3 separate regions of the Mus musculus genome follow, and all the other regions are reported to be linked to region 2. The links are microRNA targets in miRTarBase. Many come from high-throughput screens and were not tested one by one. Region 2 holds a microRNA gene; each other region holds the end of a gene's coding sequence.

Region 1 (4,251 bases), not on the chromosome of region 2:
AAAACAGATTTTAGTTCAGCAGAATTTAAAACTCAAGAAGGTATAAAAAGACAATTCTCTCCTGTATGGCTTACATTCAATATGGTTTTCTTTTTTATCTGCTTCCCGCTTGTAGTGACTTCATAATATCTATATTCTCAGCACATACTACTTCTTATTTTGAAAGCATTACATGTTCTATTTCATTTGATACATAGTGAGATGGTCTTCTGACAAGTATTTTGATTATGTGGTCTTTGAATGTAGACCAAAAAAAATTCAAGATTTGTTTCCAGTTGAATAGATTTGGTAAGCCTGAAAAAAATATAAAAAACCAACTAGTATAAATTATTAAGTGTTGTAAGTCTTTTTTGACCCTCTAAAGATCAAGTTAATAAAAAATTAAGCAAGAGCTAATGTAGGTCCTTTTGACTGAATTCACCATAAAATCCATGGGTGACATGCCTTTGGTAAGTCTTGATTGTTCTTCACATGATCATTACCATTTAATCTCAAGGGGGTAGGCACTGTGCTGTACAGTAGCTCTCTTGATGGGCATAGATACAAAGGTCATGTTCAAGCGAACATAACTCTACCACATCCTACGTACACAACAAGATAGGACAGGTTTTTTTTCTGATTAAATATGTAAGTCTTGGTAATGGGCCATAGGAAATCCTGAGGTGACTTAATGAAGACTGAACAGGGAATAGAAATACAAAAGGCTACATATGACCAAATTGTGTATTTCCAAAGATAATGGGAGGAGTAAAACATGGCAGTTTTCAGTGAGGTCTAAGAGATCAACCTGTTGCTTTCAAACTACCCCTGAGCACATTTACTCAGGGCTAATGTCATAAATAATTCTGGAGAAGAGGGATGAATAGCTTGCATTACCAGGGATGGAATAAACAATAGTACTAGCAGAAAGAATATTAGGGATACATCAGAGATTTCCCCTATTATCCAGAGGACTTTTGTTAGGATGCTTGTGGTACAGAATAGGTAACTAAGGAGAAGGCTTTAGGCTAAATGACTTGCCTATTAATGGTATCTATTAATGGTGTCTGTCCCAACCTCATCATTCTATTCTAAGCCATTCCATCTCTCTCTATTTCATTTATGACCCTGTAATTCTCCATTGTCACAGAAGCCAAATTATTCTTTTAATTTAATTTATTCTCTCATATATTATGTCCTGACCACAGTCCCCCTCCCTTCATCTGTCCTCCCACCTCCTCTATCACCCCCATCTCTTTTCCCAATCTGTTCTTTCTCCTTTTCCCCCTCAGAAAATGACAGGCCTCCCAGGGATATCAACTAAACATGGCAAATTAAGCTGCAGTAAGATTAGGCAATGATCCCCCTCCCCCAAACTACCACTTGTGTTGAAACTGGACATGGAATCCAGTAGGAAGACAAGGGTCACAAAAACAGGAAGCCAAATTATCTTAATGGCACATAAATCAAATCATGCCACCCTTTGGCTTAAAAATCTTGTCCTCCATTACAAAAACATTAATTTCTCTTAGTGTTGCTAGGCTTTCTGTACCCAGTCCCTACTTGTCCTTTTGACTTCATAATCCACCACTATCATTATTACTCATTATTCTCAGCTCTCTAGGCTATCTGTTAGTTGTTCAAATATCAAAGAGCTCATATGCTACCATACTGGCTATTTTCTCTTATTATTTCTTTGGGTGCTTCTCCTACTCGGCTTCCTCTCAGATGCTATGTCCTTTGAGAGGGGTGTTCACCGACAACTGTGTCTAAGGTAGTCTCCATTCAAACAGCCTTGTTTTAATTTTTTAAAGTCCTGCTCTCAAAAGGCCGTTGGCTTATTTTCTTGCTTATTTATTAATTATCCCCTCCTAGCAGAATGTAGCCTCATGAAGAGAAGGTTACCCCTGGAGCTCCTGGACAGTACCTGGATGCAGCTCTGCCAAAGGACAAAGACATCTGATGTTGGGTTAATATACTTTTGGGGACGGAATATAATTAAAAAAAATATATGTATGTATATGTATTTTCTCATTCTCTCTCTCTCTCTCTCTCTCTCTCTCTCTCTCTCTCTCTCTCTTACCTATCTATCTTCCTATGTATTGTGTGTGTTGTGTGAGTGTGTGTACATCTACATGTGTCTAATGCTCATGTGTACTATGTGTGTGATGTACCAACAAAAGCCAGAAGAGGGCATCATAACTCCTGGAGTTAGAATTACAGGTGGTTGTGAGCTCTCTGGTGTGAGTTTTGGGAACCAAACCCAGGTCCACTGGAAAAGCATTAAGTGCTCTTACCTACTGAGCCATCTCTCCAGTCCCCAAATATACATAAAAACAAAAGAAAGACCAACAACCAAAAACACGCACTATATAGCTTTTCTTTTTCCACAAGTGTCATTAAAAAAGAAGCATGTCTCATGTCATGATCACTATTTCTGCTAAGCAAACAGTAAGTTTTCAGTAAGGAAAACTGAAAACCACCCAACATCTGTTGCCACTTTCCCAAGAACGTGTGAATGTCCTTCCCAAGACACACTTAAAGACATCCTGGTACACAAATGCATTCTGATCGAATTGATCTTTTCCAATGAATAGTTTGGCAAACATATAAAAATGACTTCAGAGGATCTGAGAGTGGCAGGAGGAGAACCCTGATTCCAAGCCACATGTCAATGGTGGCTGAAGGAAGCTTTAGACTGCTCATCCCAGAGATGTGTCTTTAATGGTAAATTTCTTGAAACGTTCTTCAGAGGATGAAGCGTTATGTGATGAGGGTGTCACTGACACATAGTAGGCACTTCGGGGGGGGGGGGACTTTTGATATTAACACATTTTTCTTCAGTTTTCTTGAAAATATCCACAAAACTGGATATGTATGTCACTGTGTTGTGCAGTGGGATTTGGGAGAAGGTAGGAGAGTCAGATAGAATTCCAACCCTTCAGTGTCTCACGCTGTGTTAACTGTTTGCTTTGCCATCGCACTCTTCATGTGCAACAACTTCTTAATCCACTGCATCTTTCTAATCTAAAGTAGCCAGGAATAGCACCATAGAGTAGCGCAGTTTGTATACTCCGTGAAAGTGACGACTAGCTAAGGGGATGAGTGGGGACTAGAATCACCTTGCCATTCATGTATAGATCTGGCAAAAAAAAAATAGCATTATCATAGTTTATAAACAGGCATCCTGGAGTTAGCAGGTACCTCTCCCATAGCATTATATTTTCCAAAATTATCTTCCATATGCGGAGACTGTAGCTGAATGACTCATGGAAACAGGACAACCTGTTTACTTTTTCGAATATCATCATCTTTCTTTCGGTTAATTGTCCTTGGGTGTTTACTATGCTTGGCAATTTTATGTTGGCTGACTAGGGCGACCGTTAGGATGTCAGGAGCGTGTACACGGGGAGGAGGAGGGTGAGTCTCACCTATGACATGTGGTTTTGTTGTGGTTGTTGTTGCTGCTGCTGTTGCTGCTGCTGAATGAGCAACTGCTGCTGCTGTCGACGCCGAGCTGTCCGCAGCTTCTCGAAACGAGCCTCCATCTCTTCCAGGACTTTTGGGGTGTATCTGACCACCAGCTTCACACTGTCCTTAGCAGCCTTGAGAAGTTCCACAGCTTTCTCATGGTGCTCCCCTTCCACACTCTGAGAAGACATGGAGAGAGTTCACTCATTTGTTTCCTCCAGGGACTAATCTAGGATTGTTATCCTAGTAAAAACCCAAACCTCTGACGCTTTTGTCCATAAATTCCAATACTTATAAGACTGAAATAGGAGAGTGGCTGAGAGTTCGAAGTCAGCCTGGGGTGCACTGTAGGCTTCAGGTCAGCCTAACATACGATGTGAAAACTGTATTTAAAAAAAAAAGTCAAAATCAAGGGTCTGGTGTTGTATGCCAGTTTGTAGGGTGCTTGCCTAACATGAAAGCTGCCCTAGGTTCTGTGTTCAATACCACATGCAACCTTGGTGGCAGATGCTAATCATGAGGCAGGAACATAAGGTGCTTAAGTCATATATATGGCTATATAGCAAGTTCAAGGTCAACCTAGGATACGGGAGATTGTGTCTCAAACATCATCATCATCATCATCATCATAGAAATAACCAGAAATCCCTTCCAACAACTAAACTCTATAAACTACAGATGAAGAATCCAAAGTCTGCAACTTCTAGAAGACATGGTAAATAAGACAATATCATCATCATTATTATTTATGTTCATAACTGAACTTCAGGGTGGTTAGGCCATATTAGGACACAGGGGGGA
Region 2 (4,251 bases):
ATAATCTTGCTAGAGTCAGGAGAATATGGTGTTCAAGTTTATGTTTAACTTCATGATGCATTAGAGATCAGCATGTGTTTCATTGATGCACACCAAAATGTGCATGTGTGTGTAGTTGTGTGCATATTCACTTCTCTATGTGAATATGCATATACACACATGCAGACACAGGAATGGCACTCATATATCCTTTGGAATGGTATGTGACTCAGAGCTTTAGAGCTTATGCAGTGCTGGGCCAGAGCTATGTCTCAGTTAGGAGGTGGATGCTCTTGCCAGCGTCAGGAGGTCCCAGAGTTCAAATTCATGTTTAACTTCCTGATGAGTTACAGATCAGCCTGTTATTCATGTGATTGTTTCTGTGTATGTGTATAGATAAGTTTGTCTGTACATGCGGATATATGAAAAGACATATATTGACACATATTCACACATGCATGCATACAGAAACACATGGCAGTCATCCATAAGTTTTATATGTGCTTAGAATTTCATAGAGTGTATATTTATGGTACAGTGAAATATCTCGCCAACTAGATGAAAACCGCTTGCCAGAATCAGAAGTCTTGGAGTTCAGAATCATGCTTAACTTAATGATCAGTTAGTGATCATCCTGGATTCGTGTGATGGACCCTAGGTATGTACATGCACACATAATTTTGTGTGCATGTACATGTGTGTATATGATTATACATAACACACACACACACACACACACGTATAAAAGCAAGCACACACACACCAAGGTATGGCATTCATCGATCCATTTGAATGATATATGTCTTAGAATGTTACTGATTATGCAGTAGAAGGACAGTGAATGGTCTCACTCACAAGGTGTAAACAATTGGCATTGTCAGGAGGATCAGGAGTTCAATTTCATGCTTAACTTCATGAGCAGTTAGAGATCATCCTGGAATAATGTGATGGCCCCTATGTATGTGCCTGTGTGCATAAGTGCGCGCATGTATATGCGTGTATATTTTATGCATATACATACACACACCTACACACACATGCACACAGACATGCGGGAATGGCCCTCACGGATCCATTTGAATGATATGTGACCTACTGCTTTGGAGGTTATGTATGACTGGGCCAGGGTGAGGTCTCACAAACCACGGGAAAACCCTTGGTAGAGTCGGGAAGATCAGGAGTGCAAGTTCATGGTAAAGGCATGATGAGTTAGAGGTCATCCTGGCATTCATGTGATTGCCCCTATGTATGTGTATATGTGTTTATGTGTGTGTACATGTACATATGTGAATATGATATCCATATACATACACGCACACATAAGACACATATGAGCACACAGGCACACAGGAATGGCACTCACTCATTGATCTATGTGACTGTGAGCTTTGGAGATTATGTGTGACTAGGTCAGGGAGAGTTATCACCCATCATGTTAAAAATGCTTGTTAGAATCAGGAGGTCAGGAGTTCAAATTCATGCTTTATTTCATGATGACTTAGAGATCTGCCTGGGAATCATGTGATGTCCCCATGTATGTGTATATGTGTGTAACTGTGTGTGGATTGTGTATATGAATATACATACCTACACACACATAGACCCATCCACAGACACAGACACACACACGCATGCCACTCCTCAGTCCATTTGAATGATATGTGACTTAGAGTTTTAGAGATTCTGCAGTACTCAATAGGGAGAGGTCTCACACCACAGAGTCAGGTGGATCAAGAGTTCAAATTCATGTTTAACTTCATGATGAGTTAGAGATCAGCATGCTATTCATGTGATGACCATAAAGAATGTGCATGTGTGTATAGCTTTGTGCACATACACTTCTCTATATGAATATGCATATACACGCATGCACACACACTCACTCACAGGAATGGCCAGAGCTATGTCTCAGTTAACTTACCAGGTAAAACGCTTGCCTTTTGGATCAGCAGTTCAAATTCCTGAATAACTTCAAAATGACCTAGGGATCAGCCTGGCCTCATGGCATCCTCCCCCCATATATGTGCATGTGTGTATAGTTTTGTGTATATGTACATGTGTGTATACAAATATACATCTACATACAGACAAACATAAACACACAGGCACGCACACACACACACACACACACGCGCACACACACAGAGGAATGTCACTCATTGATCCTTTTGAATGACAGGTGACTCAGAGCTTTAGAGATTATGCAGGGCTGGGCCAGTGAGTGCTCTCACTCACAAGGTGAAAATGCTTGCTTGCCAGACTTTGGATGACCAGGAATCAAAATTCATGCTGAACTTCATGATGAGTTCGTGATCAGCTTCGGAGTCTTGTGATGACCCTAGTATATATGCCTGTGTGTATATGTATGTGTGCATGTACATGTGTGTATATGAATATACATATACATACACACATACCCATACAAACATGCATACAAACACACAAAAATTGGCACTCATCCATCTATTTGAATAATTAGTGACTTAGAGTCTTAGAGATTCTGTATGACTGGGGCTGACAGAGAGAGGTCTCAGTCACCAGGAGAAGACTTGCTAGATTCAGGGTGATCAGGAGTGCACATTCATGTTAACGGCATGATGAGTTAGAGATCAGCCTGGCATTCATGTGATGCCTCCATGTATGTGCATGTGTGTATAGTTGTGTGTGGATGTGTGTATTTGCATATAAATAACATACACACACACACACAAGTAAACACAAGTGCACAAACAGACACAGGAATGCCATTCATCGATCCATTGGAATGATAAGTGATTTAGAGTTTTAGAGATTTTGAAGTAGAGACGGTGAATTGTCTCACTCACCAGTTGTAAACGATTGAAAGAGTCAAGAGGATCTGGAGTTCCAATTCACTCCTATGTTCAGCTAGATAGCATCCTGGTATTCATGTGATATCGCCCATGTGTGTGCATGTGAGTATAGTTGTGTGTGCATGTCTGTATTTGAATATACATAACATACACACACTAATGCAAGTACACACACACACACACACACACACACACACTCACACCAATGCCACTCATCAATCCATTGGAATGATGTGTCACTTAGAGTATTAGAGATTATGCAGTACTTGGCCAGTGAGTGCTCTCAGTCTCTAGGTGAAAATGCTTGCTAGAGTTAAGAGTATTCAGGAGTTAAAACACATACTGACCTTCATGAGGATTTAGAGATCAGCCTGTGATTCATGTGATGGCCCCATGATTGTGCATGTGTATATAGTTGTGTGTGCATGTTCATGCATGTATTTGCATATACATAACATACACGTATAAACGCAAGCACACACACATAGAGACACAAGAATGGCTTTCATCGATCCCTTTGAATGATATGTCACTTAGCATATTAGAGATTATGCAGTACTTGGCCAGTGAGTGCTCTTATTCTCTAGGTGAAAATGCTTGCTAGAGTTAAGAGTATCAGGAGTTTAAATTCATGCTTATCCTCATGAGAGATCAGCCTGAGATTCCTCCATGTATGTGCATGTGTGTATAGTTGTGTGTGCATGTTCATGTCTATATTTGAATATACATAACATACACACACACGTATAAACGCAAGCACACACACAGACACAGGAATGGCATTCATTGACCCATTTAAATGATATGCCACTCAGAGTAGTAGAGATTATTCAGTATGGGGCAAGTGAGTGCTCTCATTCTCTAGGTGAAAATGCTTACTATAGTTAGGAGTATCAGAAGTTCAAATTTATGCTTATCTTCAGCATGATTTAGAGATAAGCCTGTGATTCATGTGATGCCTTAAGTGTACATGCAGGTTTGTATAGTTGTGTGTGTATGTTCATGTGTCTATATGGATATACATAACATATACATAGACATATAAACCCTAGCGTGCACACACACACACACACACACACACACACACACACACACACACACACGAATAACATTCATAGATCCATTTATATGATATGCCACCTAGAATATTAGAAATTATTCAGTACTGGGCCAGTGAGTGCTGTCATTTTCTAGGTAAAAATGCTTGCTAGAATCAGGAGTATCAGGAGTTCAAATTCATGCTTATCTTCAGGAGGATATAGATATCTGCCTGTGATTCATGTGATTGCCACCCATGTATGTGCATGGGTGTATAGTTTTGTGTACATGTGCATGTGTGTATATGAATAGACATAACATGCACATACATATAAACACAAGCACACACACACACAGAGACACAGGAATGACACTCATCGATCCATCTGAATGATAGGTGACT
Region 3 (4,251 bases), not on the chromosome of region 2:
GGCTCTGCTATACCATATCTGTGATGCTGGACTGAAATCTGTGGTATTGAACTGGAAAAAACCTGTGTCTCAATTTGTTTCTATGGTATTTGATTACAGTGGTGAAAGAGTAACTGGTAGAGAAAGTTGGTGTGGGGGAGAGTGGAATTATAGCTGACTGTAATTAGGAAGAACTGACTTGTAGGAAGATGTAGAGAAGCTAGCTGTAGAACTCCAGAATTATGCAGACAGAACCTCTGGCAGAGAGCCGATGAGCCTTTAGATGGGAACAAGGTTTCTAGTAAGAACCCGACTAGAGGCCATTTGTGTTCTGTTGCTTACATTCTGTCCGTGCCCAAGACTATGGGAAGCTAGGTTTATTGGTTATTGACTAGGTAATCTGGAGCAGGAGAATTCAAGGCAGTCCATTATTCCAGCTGTGGAAAAGGCACCCCTGGCTGCTTTAAACTAGTTTTATAGGGAGAACTGGGAGCAAAAGAGCAGAGGAATGACCTGAAAAGCAATTTGGCTAGAAAAAAAGCATGTTTAAAGTTAAAGGTAAAGAATGCAAGATGTTTGAAGACATTAGGCTCTTAAAAAGAGCTCCGGGGCGTGGGGTGCTGGTGCTTTGTTGGGAGATAGTGCATTGAGGAAGCATTGAAGGCCTGGTTCTAGCTCCAGCACTGCATAAAAACAAATTGTGTATGGAGGTACAGCCTATAATCCTAGCACTGGTGGGCCGTGGGGTGGACAGAAGGTATAAGGGCTAAAGTTAACCTATAAGCCCCACCTGCCCAAGGACAGATAACTTCCTGAAATTCTGGGGGCTGTTGTTCTCATATATATATGCATGTCATAGATTTTCACTTCAATAAATGTGATTGGTTACCCCAAATGCACAGGACGTACTTGATCAAACGTAGGCAGGATGTGTGCTGGTTCTTGATTGGACAAAGGAAGAAAGTACTTTGCTTTGGGTTTGACCTTTATAGGCATCTGACTGACCTAATTCCGTGCCATTCTTTGGAAATCCCAGGTATGGACCTAGCCAGTGTCCATCTTCCTGGACAGTATTAAGTAAAGTTTACTTTAATTGGACAATCGTGGATTCGGTCTACTTGAAAATTTCAGGTTTAACAGAGAAACCAGAAGCTCAAGGACACACTTGGCTACATTAAGCGTTCAGTTCAAGGTCAGGCTAAGATACTAGAAGCTTTCAGTAATCCTTCCTGAATTCTTTGGGAATAGGAATGTTTATGTTATTGTATCATGGGACTATATAATGTGATATTAGCAGAGCTAATAAATAAATAAATAGCTAATTTATTAATAAATAAGTGTTTGCCCCAGCCTCTAGAGAAACTGTATTAGAGCTTTGGAGCACTGGGTGGGAGGGATTGAATCTTATGGTGTAAGATGTGTGGGAATATCATGTTGACAAGGAATGGACTTGTGATGGTTATTCTAGGTGTGTCTGTGAAGACTCTTCCAAAGATAACTAAAACCAGGCAGTGGTGGTGCATGCCTGTAATCCCAGCACTTGGGAGGCAGAGGCAGGCAGATTTCTGAGTTTGAGGCCAGCCTGGTCTACAGAGTGAGTTCCAAGACTGCACAGAGAAACCCTGTCTCGAAAACAAAACAAAACAAAACAAAACAAAAACCCCAAAGGTAACTAAGAGATGATGGCCTTCCTTGTATGTGAGTGACACCGTCACATGAGCTGAGTTCCAGATTGAAAAAAGGAGAAAGCCCACAACCACAGGCATTCTTTCCCTCCCCGCTTCCTTTCTGTAGTGTTGTGAGCAGTTCGTCTCTGCCAGGCCTCCCCAACATAATGGACTGAAACATCCGTTCAACCTTGTGTGTGGTCTTTTTTAGTACAGTAAGGCAAAAGTAAGTAATACGGGTATTATGTGTATAGAGCTCCAATAGGAAATATTGAAAAGGAGTAGAGATTTCTTTCAAAGGTTTGGGGAAGGAGAAAAATAGTAACACATGCTTCCAAGTGTTGTTTTGTTCAACTTTATTTTTCTTTCAAGACAGATTAGACTAGTAAGTAGAGTCATAGTTGGTGAAAATTCTAGAAAACAAGAGATCAGGAAGGAGATGGAGCATTGAGACATGGATGGGGAGAAGAGCAGAATGGGGTCATGGGTATTAGTTAGCTCTCTTCTTTCTCTGTCATCGAGGCAGCTCCAGTCACCTGTTAATAGGGAGCCTGGCTTTGTACTAGAATGGAAAGGAAGGGAGTTATGCGTGAGTCCAAAGTTAAGCGTGTGCTATGGAAGGATTATTTGATGCAGCCATAGGCATGTGGAGGAGAGATGCTGCCTGCCACCCCACCCCATGCCCAAGTTCCTTTACAGCTACTCAGGTGGAGCAGTAAGGGCCTAGAACAAGGGTGTCATGGTGTTCCTCCCTCCCCAGAGTTAACTCTGCCTCCTGCTCTGCTAAAGGGAAACGTATAGATGACATTCCTTTTAGAAAAGTTTCATCCGCTCTTAAGTCACACCTGTGGTTTCAAACTTCTTCTCTTCTGGTCCAGCTCCCATCTTCTGTTTACATATTTATTTTTTAAAAGAAACATTATTTATTTTATGTATGTGAGTACACTGTCACTTTCTTCAGTGACACCAGAAGAGGACATCAGATCCCATTACAAATGGTTGTGAGCCACCATGTGGTTGCTGGGAATTGAACTCAGGACCTCTGGAAGAGCAATCAGTGTTCTTAATTGCTGAGCCATCTCTCCAAGCCTACCTATTTCTTTTTGAGGCAAGGTTTCACTGTGTATCACTGGCTGGCTATCCTAGAGCTTGCTATGCAGACCAAGCTGGCCTCAAACACAGACCCATTGCCTGTCTCTGCCTCCTGAGTGCTGATGTAAGAGGCATGTACCGTGATGCCCGACCAACATCTTTTTACTTTTTAAAGAAATGTTCATCCATCCTTCCAGACTCAGGTCAAATTCTAAGATCTATCCAACTGTGGGAGGCTAAAATGAGTTTGTAGTACATTACTACATATGCAAATCAAAACCATTTTGTGTTGGGTCAGCATTTATTCCATAAGCATTTACCTTGCTTTCTTAACTGGCTTTTAGAACATTTGAGCTTGTGCATAGCCTATGTGTACTTTACAAAGATAAAAACATTCCCATTGAATGACTAGGCTAGCAGAAAGGGTTACAACTGGAAAAAACCTTATTATTTGGGTACATTTCCCATATCTTCAGTCAACATAGAGACCCCGAGCCTTCTAGAATAAAGCTGGTATTGGATTTTTCTATTTAAATCATTAATTATATATTAATTTTTTATCTCTTTCAAATCAAATGGTTTTGATTTGCTATGTAGTAATATACACTTCTCAGAATATTACATTTCAGAATAAAGACCTTATAAAACATTTTGTTATTAATAAGTTAGAATATTGAAAATATTACCCCCACCCTTGTTTTAGACAGTCTCAAGTAGCCCAGACTGGTCTGGAACTTGAATTGCTGATCCTCTTGCTTCATCCTGAGGGGGATATTCCATTTTTGGGGTAACATAATTCAAAATAGATGTGTGTATAGCTCATGTTCAAAAACAGAAGTGACGTAGCTTCTCGAAAGTTTTTTTGTGTGTGCTTAATTCTGTCATTCAAATAGTTTTCTCTCAAGACCCAAAAAAGCCAAGGCATTGCCAGCTGTAAGTTTATCCTGAAAAGAAAGAGAGAGAGGGGGGTGGGGAGACTTTATTTAAAAGCATGATTGGCTTGATAAAGCACTTATTAGATATCATCATTGATTTTTTTTTACATTTAGTGTGTGTTTATGAACATGCAGTGTGCACATACACTTGTGAGGACAGAGGATTTATACATCTAGTTATATTGCACTTATTTTAAGATATTATAGCGTTTGCTTTTAATAGTCTAGCTATTTCAGAAAGTGGAGTCATAGTTTTAGGAAAATCAAGTGTGTGTTCAGCTCAGGATGGGCTGGCTGGAGCCAAGGCACGTACCTTTGTTTCTTCATCAAACTCTGCCATGGACTCTATCAGCTTCCCAGGCTCCTGCTCGCCCAGAGGAAAGGGGTAATCAGTTCCCAGCATGACTTTATCCTAAAAGGAGAAAATACCATTTTATTTGTGAATGTGAAAACATTAAAGAGCCTTCCATACACTTAATTTACCTACCATATACACTAGTCTAGTAAAACAACATTTCCCCCTACCCCCCTCATTTTACTAGAAACAGAGCTGGTCTACAATTGTAAAGATTTCAAGG

Evidence for each region. The annotated mature microRNA mmu-miR-297c-5p reads AUGUAUGUGUGCAUGUACAUGU and lies in region 2 at 2,341-2,362, shown strand. An mRNA with a match to its seed (bases 2 to 7 or 8) in the 3' UTR can be bound and repressed. Matches are read on the target gene's strand: a 7mer-m8 pairs with bases 2 to 8, a 7mer-A1 pairs with bases 2 to 7 and ends in A, and an 8mer does both.
Region 1: miRTarBase lists Lin7a as a target of mmu-miR-297c-5p. The part of its 3' UTR that is shown has no 7-base or 8-base seed match.
Region 3: miRTarBase lists Acmsd as a target of mmu-miR-297c-5p. Seed matches in the 3' UTR shown: 7mer-m8 at 2,578-2,584.

What each region holds. Positions count from the first base shown.
Region 1 is chr10:107,411,331-107,415,581 of GRCm38, reverse strand. Lin7a (lin-7 homolog A (C. elegans)) reads right to left here. Exons shown (of 6, transcript NM_001039354.1): 5 at 3,411-3,629. The coding sequence ends at 3,411. Among named protein-coding and RNA genes, the nearest start is that of Myf5, 73 kb to the left of the region's middle.
Region 2 is chr2:10,506,686-10,510,936 of GRCm38, forward strand. Mir297c (microRNA 297c) reads left to right here and starts at 2,331; the gene lies at 2,331-2,428. The region is part of intron 10 of Sfmbt2 (Scm-like with four mbt domains 2); the gene reads left to right. Mir467d (microRNA 467d) reads left to right here and starts at 945; the gene lies at 945-1,029. It overlaps Mir466 (microRNA 466), which reads left to right and starts at 1,233; the gene lies at 1,233-1,305. It also overlaps Mir669c and Mir669a-2.
Region 3 is chr1:127,765,714-127,769,964 of GRCm38, reverse strand. Acmsd (amino carboxymuconate semialdehyde decarboxylase) reads right to left here. Exons shown (of 10, transcript NM_001033041.2): 9 at 3,987-4,085; 10 at 2,401-3,682. The coding sequence ends at 3,620. The region is part of intron 1 of 2900009J06Rik (RIKEN cDNA 2900009J06 gene); the gene reads left to right. Among named protein-coding and RNA genes, the nearest start is that of 2900009J06Rik, 6.2 kb to the left of the region's middle.